3 linked regions of the Arabidopsis thaliana genome follow. The protein of the gene in region 2 interacts with the protein of the main gene of each other region in a pairwise test. Each region holds a gene or a part of one and is shown on either strand. Other genes may lie near its edges.

Region 1 (4,644 bases), on a different chromosome or scaffold from region 2:
GCCGTACGGGAACAAGTAGAGTAGAAATGTCTGGATAAGCAATGGAATCAGATTCTCCAAGACGGAAGCATCTTGAGGAACGTAGTAGTAATCCCAATTAGTGAGTTGTCGAACGAGGTATTGAGAAGCGAGTGAGACAGTGGTTTGGAGTGAAAGCTCGAAGAAGATCAAGAAACAAAAGAGGGGGAGAGAGCAAAGGAAGAGGAAGAGAACAAGATTGATGTTACCACATAGAAGCTTTGTTGCTCGTTTGAGTATGTTGATGAAACCTAGATCCTCCTCAATCTTCATCTTCTTTCACAGTTCTCTTCTTCTCTACAAAGAAAAAGGGAGAGTACAGATCTACTACAGTTTTTTATTCGTAAATATGGAGTCGTTTCTTCATTGACGTTGACGTAAGAATTGGTATACCAACAAATCTGAACCAAATTGCCTCAAAACCAAATTTAGAAAAGTATTAAAATGAAAACATGTGGCGGCCGAAGAAGAACAGATTAAAAGTCGAGATTAATTGGGAAAAGAAAAGCATAAGTGGGAAACCAAATCATGAACACAAAAGACTAAGCTAACACGTTTTTCACAAGCAATATAAAAAAGAAGCATCCACAAATGGGTTTAATTTAATGTAAGTGTGTGATCCACCAACAGATGTGTAACAAAGTTGACCGAAAAACAAAAGTGAGTAGAGAAACCAAGTGGTGATATAGCAGCCGAGAGCTAGGAAGAGGACGGGGTGAAGAAACAGATTCGTCTTTCTCAATAGAAGCTTGGTTGCAGACTTGGGGTAGGAGTGGTGAGTAAAGAGCAGGGCAATCTAAAAGTCACACAATGTAACAAGCAAATTCTAGCTGATGTTGGTCGAGTTGAGGATGCAGATTCATGATAAAACTAAGTTGTGGGGAGAGTAAGATGCAGCTGTGCTGCCAAGAGATCCCCGATAAATCATACCTCACAAGGGAAAAAGAGTGGAAACAGTTGAGCTTTTTAGATATGTCTATATAATAAGGAAAGTGCATTCAACAAGAGACAAAACATTTATGGATACGAAAGAACGACCTCAAGTGTAGGGGTTCAAGGACGCTGTGTGAAGACAGCAGGCCAGTGCGTGTTATAGAGAATAAGTCAAGACGGCTGTTGGAAAACAGCATGAAGGAGAACTCACCAAATCCAATTGTCTAATAAAACTCGAACATACCATGACATGTCCATGCTCAACAACCAAACCTAGAAGAGCTAATACCATAATAGCAGATATAAAGATCTATCCTAAAAGGCGCCACAGAGTAGATATAGCATCATAGCTTAGTAATAGCTTCTTTCTCTTCAGGGTCCAGTTTCACACCCTGCAGAAACGCAAACGAATATATACCTTATATCAAAATACTTCAAATGTTATTCACATCTACATAGACAATGCTGAAGTTGAGTCATGCAGATTGAGAAAGTAAACCTAAATCCAAGAAGAGAAAAGAACTTTTACCCATTGGCATATGGCGAACGTCGACCATAGGGCGAGTCTCTGCGGCGAGGAGAATCACGGCGTGAACCACGATAAGGAGGGGATCTGCTGTAGCTCCTCCCACGGCGAGGTGGAGTAACACTGCGACGCCTTGGAGGAGATCTTCTTCCACGCGGGCTTATACTCCTGAACAAAATCAATTCCACAGGAACAAAAATGTATGTCACAAAGCGATTATAACATCAAGAAAGGTACTATCAACATTAACAACTCAGCCCCTATACATGATTACAAAGTGCAATTTCAATGGATATGTTAACACAATGGACATACTAATGACATACTATCTCATCTAAGCAGCTCAATAAGAATGTTTCCGTTGGATCGTTACCTGCGAGCATACCCATAATCTGGACTCCTACGACGACGGGGACTAGGGCTTCTACGCCTCACAGAGCCTCGACCACGGCGACACTCGCGAGCAAAATGTCCAAGCTCACCACACTCATAGCACTTGGAATCCTCAATACCTCCACGACGACCACCACCACCTCCACGACCTCCTTTATCTTTATGAGAAAGCTCCACACGCCACCCATTCTTTCCTGAAGTATACGCCACAAGAGTAAAACTTTTCAATGACCAAACAATAATACAAACATTACATGGTAACTAAGAGGTCTAATGAGAAGAACACTAACGATCCAATGCGCTGATTGCATCCAAAGCATCTCTTTCGTCATCGAACTCGAGGAATGCGTAGCCAGGAGGTCTACGAGCTACCCAGACACTGCGATTTTTAAGATTCAGAGTCATAATTCGTATGGCTTGAAACAAAATTGAGTACAGAGATAGGACTTACTTGCGAAGAACACCGAAGGCCTTGAATTCGTCTTCGAGTTCTCTTTCGGTGACGCGTGGGTCCAAATTCCCGACATAAACCCTCGTCATGTTGCAAAGATCAGTTGAATCTGAACGAAAGAGAATCGAATTTTGTGAAGAAATATGGATATCGATAATAGTTACAGCGAGTAGTTAACAAGGTACCTGAGATTCTTGGTCCTGAGCAGCGAAGCGGGATGTTTTAGGGTTCAGACTCAGACTACGGCGAGGAAAGAGAGTAACCAAGTTATTTCATTATTATATGAAAACTGAAAAGTAAAAAAAAATTAACATCATATATTATTTGGTCATTTATTAGTTATTTCATGGTCCCTTATTTTTCGGTAATCCATATATTCATAAACAAAGTTTTAGCGACCAAAATGTAAGACTAGTCTCCCATAGTCGATTAGTTAACGTAAAAAGAGAATTGAGGTGAAAGCGGATTTTGAAACTATGCAAAACATCTTTGACAACAAAAGTTATGCAAACATGTTTCTAGAGTTTGATGTCTAATTACTGTAACTTGACGTGATTCTCAGTCTGAAAAAAACTAATGGGCCTAAAACCCATAACCTTTTGGTTAAAATTTTAAAAATATGAGCAAGTTTCAGTTGCTTAATGGCCCATATGAGTTGGTTTTGGTTTTCAACTTTTGCATCAGTACTTGTATCTTCTTAAATTTTCAAAATATAGTAGGCTGATTAAATCTAAGTTTGGAGTTGGCAAGTGTAACAATTGTTAGTTTTACATATACCTTACCAATTTACACATGATTGGGCACCTAATTCATGTGAACAAGTCTCTAAACGATTGCACACACACAAAAAAAAAAGAGTCTCATTGTTTAAAATTGCGTCGACGTAAATAGAAAAGGTTTCATCATCCCACCAAAAACAAAAAGACACTTATCCATTGGGGAAAACATTCTGAACCAAGATAAGTCATGCTGGGTCCCACTTACATCGACTCCTCTAAGACTGTGTCTTTGACACGTGTTTAGTTATGATTCGTTTATTTGCAGCCACTGTGTAGACCCCACTTACCTCCTTTTACAAAATCGACATTCAATTTACACGTGTCGCTATTCCCTGGCTTGTCCCTTAAGCTGGACATGGGAGGAATAAGATACTCTTTAATTTTTGGATGGCTATGGCTAAATAGATGGCTCAGAAGAAATAAGATGGCCATAACTTCATTCGTTATCCAAAGCTAACATTAATTGGTTAGTATCAAAATTTCTAAAATTGTGAAATATTTATAGAATATTAGTATTTAAAATTATATCTAATTGTATAAAAATTTTGGGGAGTGATTATTAGTGTCATGTTACTTATTGTAACTATCGTTGTGCATATCAATAAAAATATACGGATTTCAATTTTAAACCTCACATTTACAGATATTTAGTTAGATATTTAAAAGGGATATCTGCAAAATGGACAATATAGATATTCGATTTTTTTTATCGTAGTTAACAAATGCATGATATCATGTATCATATTTACACATACTATTCTTTTTTTTTTAAGTCTAGTAAAACGGATAACGGGTTGAAGAAGGATAAAAACATTTGTATCCAGCCAAGCCCTAAATTGGTATTGTCAAGTGGAAGAGCAAGAAAAGTAAAGAAGAAGAAAGTGTCAATCTGATTCGGATCCAATTACCCAATCCTCGTTGGCTTCCTAAACAACGTGAAAACAAAACACGGCTTATATATGTCAACGTTATTTACATTGACACTTGGAACCATTAACACCAAATGGGGATAATATCGTAAAATAACACATGGTTAGTACTTTAGTGACAATCCTAATGCTGCTTTGTCCCTTGGGGGGTTTGAGAGGCCACCCTGACCTACGTGGTGCCCTTTTAATATCAATACATTCCCGATAATGTGTGCTTACATGTTTTAATTATCTTAGTTTAGTCATATAATAATGACTTCGCTTTTAACTATATTATATTTACTATATGTAATATGTACATGCATGTTGCATTCCCAATGATGTTTGTTCCATTTTTATGTCTTTATCTAAGACTTTTAGTAAGACAAGATAACTCTAATGATCTTTCTTTTTTGTTAAAGTAAGAATATATATCGATTCAATTCATCTTATCAATATGGATATAGTCTTAGATCGTGTGTAGAAGTTTTGTTTTTTGACCAATACATTAAATTGTTTTAGTCTTTTTTTTTTTTTTTTTGCCAACGGATTATGATAATTATTTCTTAAAACGTTACCTGCACTTTGTAGAGATGTGACTAGTCGGTATTTTTTTTGTTAACATGAAACGACTTG
Region 2 (4,229 bases):
ACAAACAGAAAACAACAAATTACGTGAATATAAAAACTTATCTTATTGATTTGGTTAAGTTTAACACTCTTTACCTATCACAAAATGTTTATATTCCTACTATAAGCATGTAACTTGTTATATAAGTGAGACTTTATTGTTTCGTTACAGGTTTGAGCTGGGATTAGAGAAGCCTGATCCAAAAAGAGCGTTACAAAGCGCGTTCACGATTGCAATCGCTTATGTTCTTGGCGGTTTTATACCGTTACTTCCCTACATGCTCATACCGCATGCCATGGATGCGGTAGTGGCGTCTGTGGTTATAACTCTGTTTGCGCTCTTCATATTTGGCTATGCAAAAGGGCATTTCACTGGAAGCAAGCCCCTCAGAAGTGCGTTTGAAACCGCCTTTATAGGAGCGATTGCTTCAGCTGCTGCTTTTTGTTTGGCTAAAGTTGTGCAACATTAGCAGTAACAAAACTAGTGTTGCGTTTGATGTTTTGTGTACTTTGAGACTTGTTTGTTGCATGTCTTGTGGTTATTATCAGGCTAAAACTTTTGGCAACCATAATAAAGTGAGAGATAACAATTCAAAATATTGGTTACATAATTACTTTCCTAAGCTAACATTGCAGACACACAAGTTTTCTTCTGACATTAATCCATTCCTGAAGATTTAAAAGAAACAGTTGCAGAGCCTTCTCTTCTTAAGCGTATCCATATTGGTCACTATCTTTGTCTTGAAGATCTTTCCAAGATCCAAGATTCTTCATTGACATTTGATCCATACCCTTGTCTGATTCTGTTGTTGTTAACGTCACCTCTCTGTCTGAAATTTGCTGAGGAAGATAGACCATGAACCGCCACAGAAACAGGACGGTTAGAAGCGGATGATACATCAACCGAGAAGTGTTCATTTTGAGATCTACCAAGATTGTCATTAGGAATCCAAACTCCAAAACTAGCAGAGTGATGATTGTCTATTGGTTGACCAAACAATGCAGCTAATGTCTGTGGATGTAATTGTCCTGAGGAAACCAGAGCTTGAATGTTTTCATATCTTTTGGTAGACTCAGAGTCATTACTCTGCGAAGCTTCACCGCTTAATCTCTTCAAATACAATCGGAACTTCTGCAAATGGTATTGATTCAGTCATAACCCTTATAGAGACCCTAATAAGAAGAAAGATTCAATCAATCAATCAAAGAAACCTGTAAATGACTAGCCACGTTTTCTCTGCTTAAACCAGGAACATTCATCAACTCGAGAATCCGCTTTGGTACAGCTTCTGAAACAATAAGAGAGATTCTTATAAGCACAAATTACTTTGAATTTCTTCTACAAGCAATAAGATAGTGTTTAGGATCATACTGTCAATTCCAAGTTTGTTTACGGCATTAACGAATTGTTGATGCAATTCAATAGACCAAACAACGCGTGACTTCTTCGAGTTTCCAGGATCAAGAAGAAGATCATCTTCATTATCATCTCTATCAACACTTCTCTTCTTCTTCTTCTTCTTATTCCTACATTTCATCAAACTTTCCTCTGAGCATTCACTAACCGAAACAACAACAGTCTCGAGGCTACCACTGTTCTTGTTATCCTCTAAAGCTTGAGAACTTCGAAGCTCTTTCTTCATCACACATTTCCTTCTAACAACATGTTGCCAAATGTTCTTAAGCTCTTCAGGACGAATAGGTTTGATTAGATAATCACAAGCTCCATGGTTGATTCCAGTCATGACTGTAGTTGTTCTTCCATCAACAGACATCACTAGAAACAGAGCAAATGTAAGAAACATTGATGCAAAGATTCAATCTTTAGAGACAAAACATAACAACAGAGTCTTACTAATGACAGGAAGATCCATTTCAAGAAGACCAACTTGTTGAAGAAGATTGTAACCATTCATACCAGGCATATGAACATCACTTAGCACCAAATCAAAACTGTCTTTTCTTTCTCTTAGAATGGTTAACGCAACATCAGCTTGTGAGCAAATTGTAACTACAAAGAGAAGATAAAACAAAAATGTTAAAACTTTCTTGAGAAAATCTATTAAAAGGTGGGAACTTTGATAAAGAATTAGACCTTGGTACATGAGACGGAGAAGCATTTTCTCGAGAATGAACAAGCATGAAGTATCATCGTCTACAACGAGTATTCTTAACCCACTAGGAAACTGATCGTTGATCGGCATTAAGCTTTGGTGTGAGTATTGAAAACCCTAGAGAACTGAGAAAGAGATTTTGGTTGGAGAAGAAAGAAGAAGAAATGATTGAAGACGTACAGTGTTGAGTAAGTAGCCACTGGTTTGAAGAGAGAGGCAACGAAAGCGACTGGTAATAGCTGTAGTGGCACTCTGTTGTAATTAATCCAATTGGTACTACCCTTATTTGTAAACATACACGAGTCCTTTAAAATCTTATCTATAGACAAAGTCACGGTCCTCATGCACTACAATATCAGAATGCTTATCACGCCGGCGAATTTATCCGGTGGCATAGCCGGATTATTCGTTTTCGGACAGAAAGATCAAATGACTAAAATACCCTCGCTCACAAACTCGTATAACTACCGGAAAAAACTTTTCACCGTCCCTCCAGTGGCGGAGAGAAGAAGAGCTTTGAAGATGTTCTGGTGCGGTGCTCGGAGAAGGGTGAGAGACGAGGGAGGTGGTGAAGATGAAGATGAAATGTATGGATACAACGAGGAAATGGCGATGTTGGAGATATATAGCCAGTCGTGTAGAGAAGAAGCGCTTATAGTGACGGCCATTGTCGACGATGAAGAAGTGGAAGTTGTAATCTTTAAAGGAGTGTCGTCGTGCTTGAGCGGAGAAACGGCGGTGGATCCGGCGAGGAGTGTGTTGCCGGAGAGAGCAGTCATTACAAAGATTGATAGAGTGAGAGGTCCTTTTGATCCTTCACAGATTCATTATATTCAAAGGGACATCTCTTTTCAAGCCTTCAAGGAGACCAGACTCAACTAATGTTAGTGAATGTTGTGTCTGGATCAATGAAACTAATGACAATTTCAATTTTTTCACTAATAACTCTCACCTCTGTTTCTGAACTAATTTCTTAAATCTATAACATACCCCAAAATGAGAAAAATGGACAAAGGTAAGATAGAGAGAGATACAATAAATCACACACTAAGCTCAAGTTAGTAGTTAAAACACAAACCTAACTCTTTTCTATATATGAGGAAAACAATAAACATCAGCCAAGAAATTAAAAATCAGTTTTTAACTTTGAAATCTTACTATGTTAAGAAGCACACAAACCTCCCATATTGGATTTCTATATTTGTATGCTTTTTGTCATTCCTTCAATCTATTAACCACTGAATTGAGATTCATATTTTGCTCGTGGAATCGACTTCTTTGATCACTGCGTGCTCCTCGTCATCCCCATTCGTCCTGAGCCTCTGCTAAAACAACAATGCAAAGCAAACGTTCAAGTGTTAAAGAAAACTAACCTAACCAACTTATAATCGTTACATTGGGTCATTATAATAAGAAAACATCAGGTACCTTCCAGAAAGTAACTGTGCAGTTGTTGAAGCTCCTTTTGAGTTAGTAGAGTGACGTCTCGTTCTACTATCTGATCCTTTGTTATCCACACGCATAGCTGAAACCTCTTTCTCCATTGCTGCTACTTCTCTTCGCATCTTCTTTGCTTCCACTTCCATCGCCTTTGTTAGTGTTTCAACCTTCTTGGCCAACATCTAAAAGCAAACACAAGCCCAAGTATTTTGATCAGAGAATATAAATAAATATAAGCAAACGTTTCTTGGAAAGGTGTAAAACTAATGACTAACCTCAATAGCTTCGTCTTTATCTCTAAGGCTTTGATCTTTATCATTAGCAGCTTTCCTTAAAGTTATCACCTCCTTTTGAAGCAAATCATGTAATACTCCTGGGACACTATCATTATTTGTCCCTGCTGCTTTCTCTGAATCTCCTTGTTTTGTTGAATTAGGTGACCCGCCTCCGCTTGTTCCTTCAGAAGATTGGTTCAATGGAAACTTCGATCTGGGTTCGTTTGTTAGTACTTTACTCCTATCTAAAGATCTACTGCCTCCGTCAAATGATCTGGATGTTCCTTTCGCATGCTTCAATATTGTGCTTGTACTAGCATTCAAAGATCTAAACTGAGAACTTGGTGACCTCTTGGAGAAAAATCCATTTGATGTCAGTTTCGGAATAATATCAGCTCCGCCAAGGGATTGTCTTCGAGAAG
Region 3 (3,896 bases), on a different chromosome or scaffold from region 2:
CTATCTCTAGCTCCGACCCTGTCCCCATTAGGATTACGTCTAGTTTTGTCACCTGTGGAGTTGTCTGAGATTACATATCCCCCCTTCACCACTACCTCGACCGAAGTTCCAGGTAGATGAGGCAGCTTTTGTCTGGACAAAGCCAGGATCGAAGGCCTCTTTCTGTTCTCTACAGCAACTTTGGAGGCACGCGCAGTCAAAGATATCGGAAGGAGACCCATATCACTATGGGCCCAAAAGCCCATATTGGAAATGTCCGTTTAATCACGAGTTATTTGTTAGCTTTATATGACACCGTTGGAGGAAAAAGGAAATGGAAGTAAAAAATCACAAGAACAATGGTATTTGTATGGTTTGAGATTTATCTATATGTATAAACTTAAGACTGGATATGCATGGGTTGCATGTTTTTTATTTACGTACTATTTAGGAATATTATGATAAATGTAGAGGTTTAATTTCAAAGATCATTATTATAAACATCTTTTTTTTTTTTTTTTTTGAATATCAGGAGGTTCTGGGCCGAAGCCCGTAATTCCTTTAGGCCCGAAACCACATCATGTAATATTAGTTTCGTTCCAAGTGTCACTCGAACTTGCGATCTCTCAGCTTCGCCTAGGGTCTTTTTGGATATGCTTAATTCAAAATAACTACCACATCTCTTGATTGTTCATCTTCCTTTCAATTTAACTTGGCGAAATATAGTGGACGTGTGGTGTTTGAAACGGATACACTCCTCGATTGACCTTATCAAGATGGTAACCAAAATCACGATGATCACTTCTGGCCGGCGTTCCATTGAGACAGAGAGTTATCTCAGTTTGCTTCTTTTTAATTTTTAGTTTAATTTTCTTTCTAAATTTCTCTAAAATATGTTTGTAATAATCAGAATGCTTGTCCGTCGAAATCTCGACCCTTTTCTTCTTAAATTTTTCATTATTCTCCAATATGGGAACCCTCTTGAGGATGGTTTCTTCTTTGGTGGATGATTTTTAATGTAGGTGCGTAATAATGGTTGTTTTCTTTTTTGCTAATCCATATATAACCTACACTCATCAGATTCAGATAATTGATACAAATTATAGTCAAATTAAAAAAGTATTTGATATATATTCTCCATATATATATATATATATCGAAAATTAATTTGCAGGCCAAAGCTTTCATACAGAATGATCAAACCCTAATTAACAATCAATATCTTCTTTTTTTTGTTTACAATCAATATCTTCTTTTTATTCACCAATTATTTATGCATATGATATCAAGATAAAGAAACTTGGTACACAATTGTACATCATATATCTTAGAATAATAATATTAAAACACCCATACAATCTTGGATCGAATCTTTATGCATCTATATATAATATATCAACATGAAAAAGGTTGAGAGGATGACACCAAATGTCTAGCTAGCGAGCTTCTGTGTAGTTCATCAGGGTTGGGAGTTGTGGTAATAACAAAGGTAAGAGGGGTTAGCCATAGGAGCTCCAATCTGAGAGTGAGGCTGAAGAATCCTCACCTGCCGTTTCAAGAACTTGGTGTAACGTATGGCTTCGTCGAGCATGGAAGCTGTGTCCATCTTCGCACCACCAGGCACGATCCTCTTGAGAATTCGGATCTTCTCGCTGATCCTTTCCCGACGCCGACGAGCAACCACCGTCTGAGGATCGTCGCTTATCCTTACGTTACGGCGGTTCGGCTTAGGGACCGTGGCAGGGTCGATGTCTACGGGCTGCATGACGGCGATCATGTACTGCATCTCCTTCATCGCATCCATGTCTTCATCGTACTCTTCGTCTTCGTCCAAGTGAATTAGGGTTTCGGGAGGTGGATCTAACATGAGATGGTGAGGATCATTGAGAAAAGCTGCGTGTTCTTGTGTGAGAAGATCATTAGCTTTGTTCCAATCCATGAGGAGATGGTGAGGCTGAGGCTCCATCATGCTTCTTTTGGGGCTGTGGTTGGATCTGCTTTTGGACGAGACACAAGAGTCGCACACTCCTTTCTTTTTATACATACCATTTTCCATTTTCATCTTTTCTTATTTCTCAATATATATATTCTTTTTCCAGAAATATACACATATGTATTTACTGATATATATCTTTGACTCGATTAATTAACCGAATGCTTACATGCATGTCTCTTATTATTTACTTCATATGCCTCATTTTTTTTTTATAGGATATATGTCTCATTTTATGATATATTTTACCTTTTCCTTTCTGTTTCAATTAATTAGATGTTTTGTAAATTTATATGTAAATTTTAAGTGTATTTAATATTTTGTGATTATTTATATTCTTTAATAGTATTGTTTTATGAATGGTTGCATGGTTTTAAATTAATTGATATTTGGTAGTGAAAAAAAACTAACTTCTTAATATGTGCGTTTTAATCAAAAAAAAAACCTTACAAAATAACCATTATTTTTTATGACTCAACTTATTTCCTATGTAAAATGTCCTTGAATTTAAAAAATGGAACTTTTGAAAAGGCTTTTGAACCCAACCAGAACATTAGTATTTATATAGGTTATGTATACAAAATTTTCCAAGATTCAAACCTGCTTATATGTTGTCGTGTCCCGTCGTCTGTATTTTTCGGGACTAAATTATAATTTTGCAAATAGTTAAATCTTCAAGTATTTCCAGAAGTATAGTTACCCAAGCTAATATACTGATTCCCCAATATACATCAACATTACAGTTCTTATTTATGTAAAAAATTACTAAATTTAACCCACATTATACGATCAAAGAAATTGATTAGATTCATAATATCAGATTTTTTACACAAACATTAGTAGAACTACCACCAGTATTTTTTCATTTTTTTTATCAACTAGACATATATTAAAAGATAACTATATGATTGACTGTCTAATTGGGAGGAGATGAGTTTACAAAAGTAACTTTAGAAAACAAGAAAAGAGAGAAACGACCTAAACAATCCGTCTTAAAATTCCATAAATAAAAAACATAAGAAATCAAGAAAAAGAAAAATAAAGAAGAGAACATTCCAAACTAGTTTAGTAGGTTGGAGAAAGCTGACCACCAAAAAAAATTTAATCTGACAAAACTATTTTTTTGAATATATATTAGTTATTGTGAAAATAAAAACGTGATGACATCATAGTGACATGGGCCTGCATGAACAATTTAATCAGATATGTTTTTTTTTACCGCAATCAGATATGTTATTACATACATATCAATATTACTTCATTTTATCTTAAATTATATAGCTCATGTTTAATTCTGGAATTGTTTTCATAACTAAATTTTTTTCGATAAAGTTGTCATTTTAAAATATTTCCTAGAGTTCTAATTAAGTTTAGTGTTGTGTGAATGGAAGAATTCGACACATAACTTGCCAAAAATCCGTGCATGTGATTAATTTGGCAAAGGAAATTAAAGAAAATATCATTAGATCATGATTAAAGCTAAGTTTTGCAGCAAAATTATATATATTGCCGTTTAAAGACTCAATATATTTCTACCTTTTTCGCTAACAAATTTCATGGACTCATTTGTGCTAGTTTATATAAACCTTGTTATAACCATTTAAATTCGTATACGTACGTACGGAGCAATACAAGAAACACATATAAAGCAAAATCCTATAGACCACAAAAGATAGAAGAAATAGTGTGTGGTCAAAATCATGGTTACTCAAAAAGCAAGATCAAGAACAAGGGATTAAATTTCTAGGGTTTTTCCTAAGGACGAAGAAGGAGAGAGACTTTACGAAATTAGGGCAAAAAAGGAGCGTTGCACTTTGGTTTGGATATCATTGCCATAAGGAAGCATAAGTCGCTCTTGTAATAGTTACTCAACACATGTCTCCATTTTTAGTGCTCATTATTTTGACCTAATTTTCTTCTCTCT

The links. Proteins that work in one complex are often made in the same cells at the same time.
Region 1: the proteins of RR14 (region 2) and RSZ21 interact in binary tests that used the Arabidopsis thaliana proteins (3 or more experiments, as listed by UniProt).
Region 3: the proteins of RR14 (region 2) and IND interact in binary tests that used the Arabidopsis thaliana proteins (3 or more experiments, as listed by UniProt).

What each region holds. Positions count from the first base shown.
Region 1 is NC_003070.9:8,426,755-8,431,398, forward strand, and holds RSZ21 (RS-containing zinc finger protein 21), read right to left. Parts: upstream 2,732-4,644; 5' UTR 2,507-2,731; intron 2,488-2,506; exon of another isoform or gene 2,431-2,487; 5' UTR 2,411-2,430; coding exon 2,322-2,410; intron 2,250-2,321; coding exon 2,161-2,249; intron 2,065-2,160; coding exon 1,851-2,064; intron 1,646-1,850; coding exon 1,481-1,645; intron 1,344-1,480; coding exon 1,337-1,343; 3' UTR 503-1,336; downstream 1-502. Other genes in the region: AT1G23850 (uncharacterized protein), read right to left, coding at 1-291. UniProt on the Arabidopsis thaliana protein: Probably involved in intron recognition and spliceosome assembly.
Region 2 is NC_003071.7:330,994-335,222, reverse strand, and holds RR14 (response regulator 14), read right to left. Parts: upstream 2,322-4,229; 5' UTR 2,183-2,321; coding exon 1,834-2,182; intron 1,756-1,833; coding exon 1,351-1,755; intron 1,268-1,350; coding exon 1,191-1,267; intron 1,111-1,190; coding exon 709-1,110; 3' UTR 527-708; downstream 1-526. Other genes in the region: VIT1 (vacuolar iron transporter 1), read left to right, coding at 151-448; AT2G01755 (uncharacterized protein), read left to right, coding at 2,435-2,974; MAP70-3 (microtubule-associated proteins 70-3), read right to left, coding at 3,375-3,417, 3,521-3,714, 3,808-4,229. UniProt on the Arabidopsis thaliana protein: Transcriptional activator that binds specifically to the DNA sequence 5'-[AG]GATT-3'. Functions as a response regulator involved in His-to-Asp phosphorelay signal transduction system.
Region 3 is NC_003075.7:41,163-45,058, forward strand, and holds IND (basic helix-loop-helix (bHLH) DNA-binding superfamily protein), read right to left. Parts: upstream 2,036-3,896; coding exon 1,439-2,035; 3' UTR 503-1,438; downstream 1-502. UniProt on the Arabidopsis thaliana protein: Transcription regulator required for seed dispersal. Involved in the differentiation of all three cell types required for fruit dehiscence. Acts as the key regulator in a network including SHP and ALC that controls specification of the valve margin.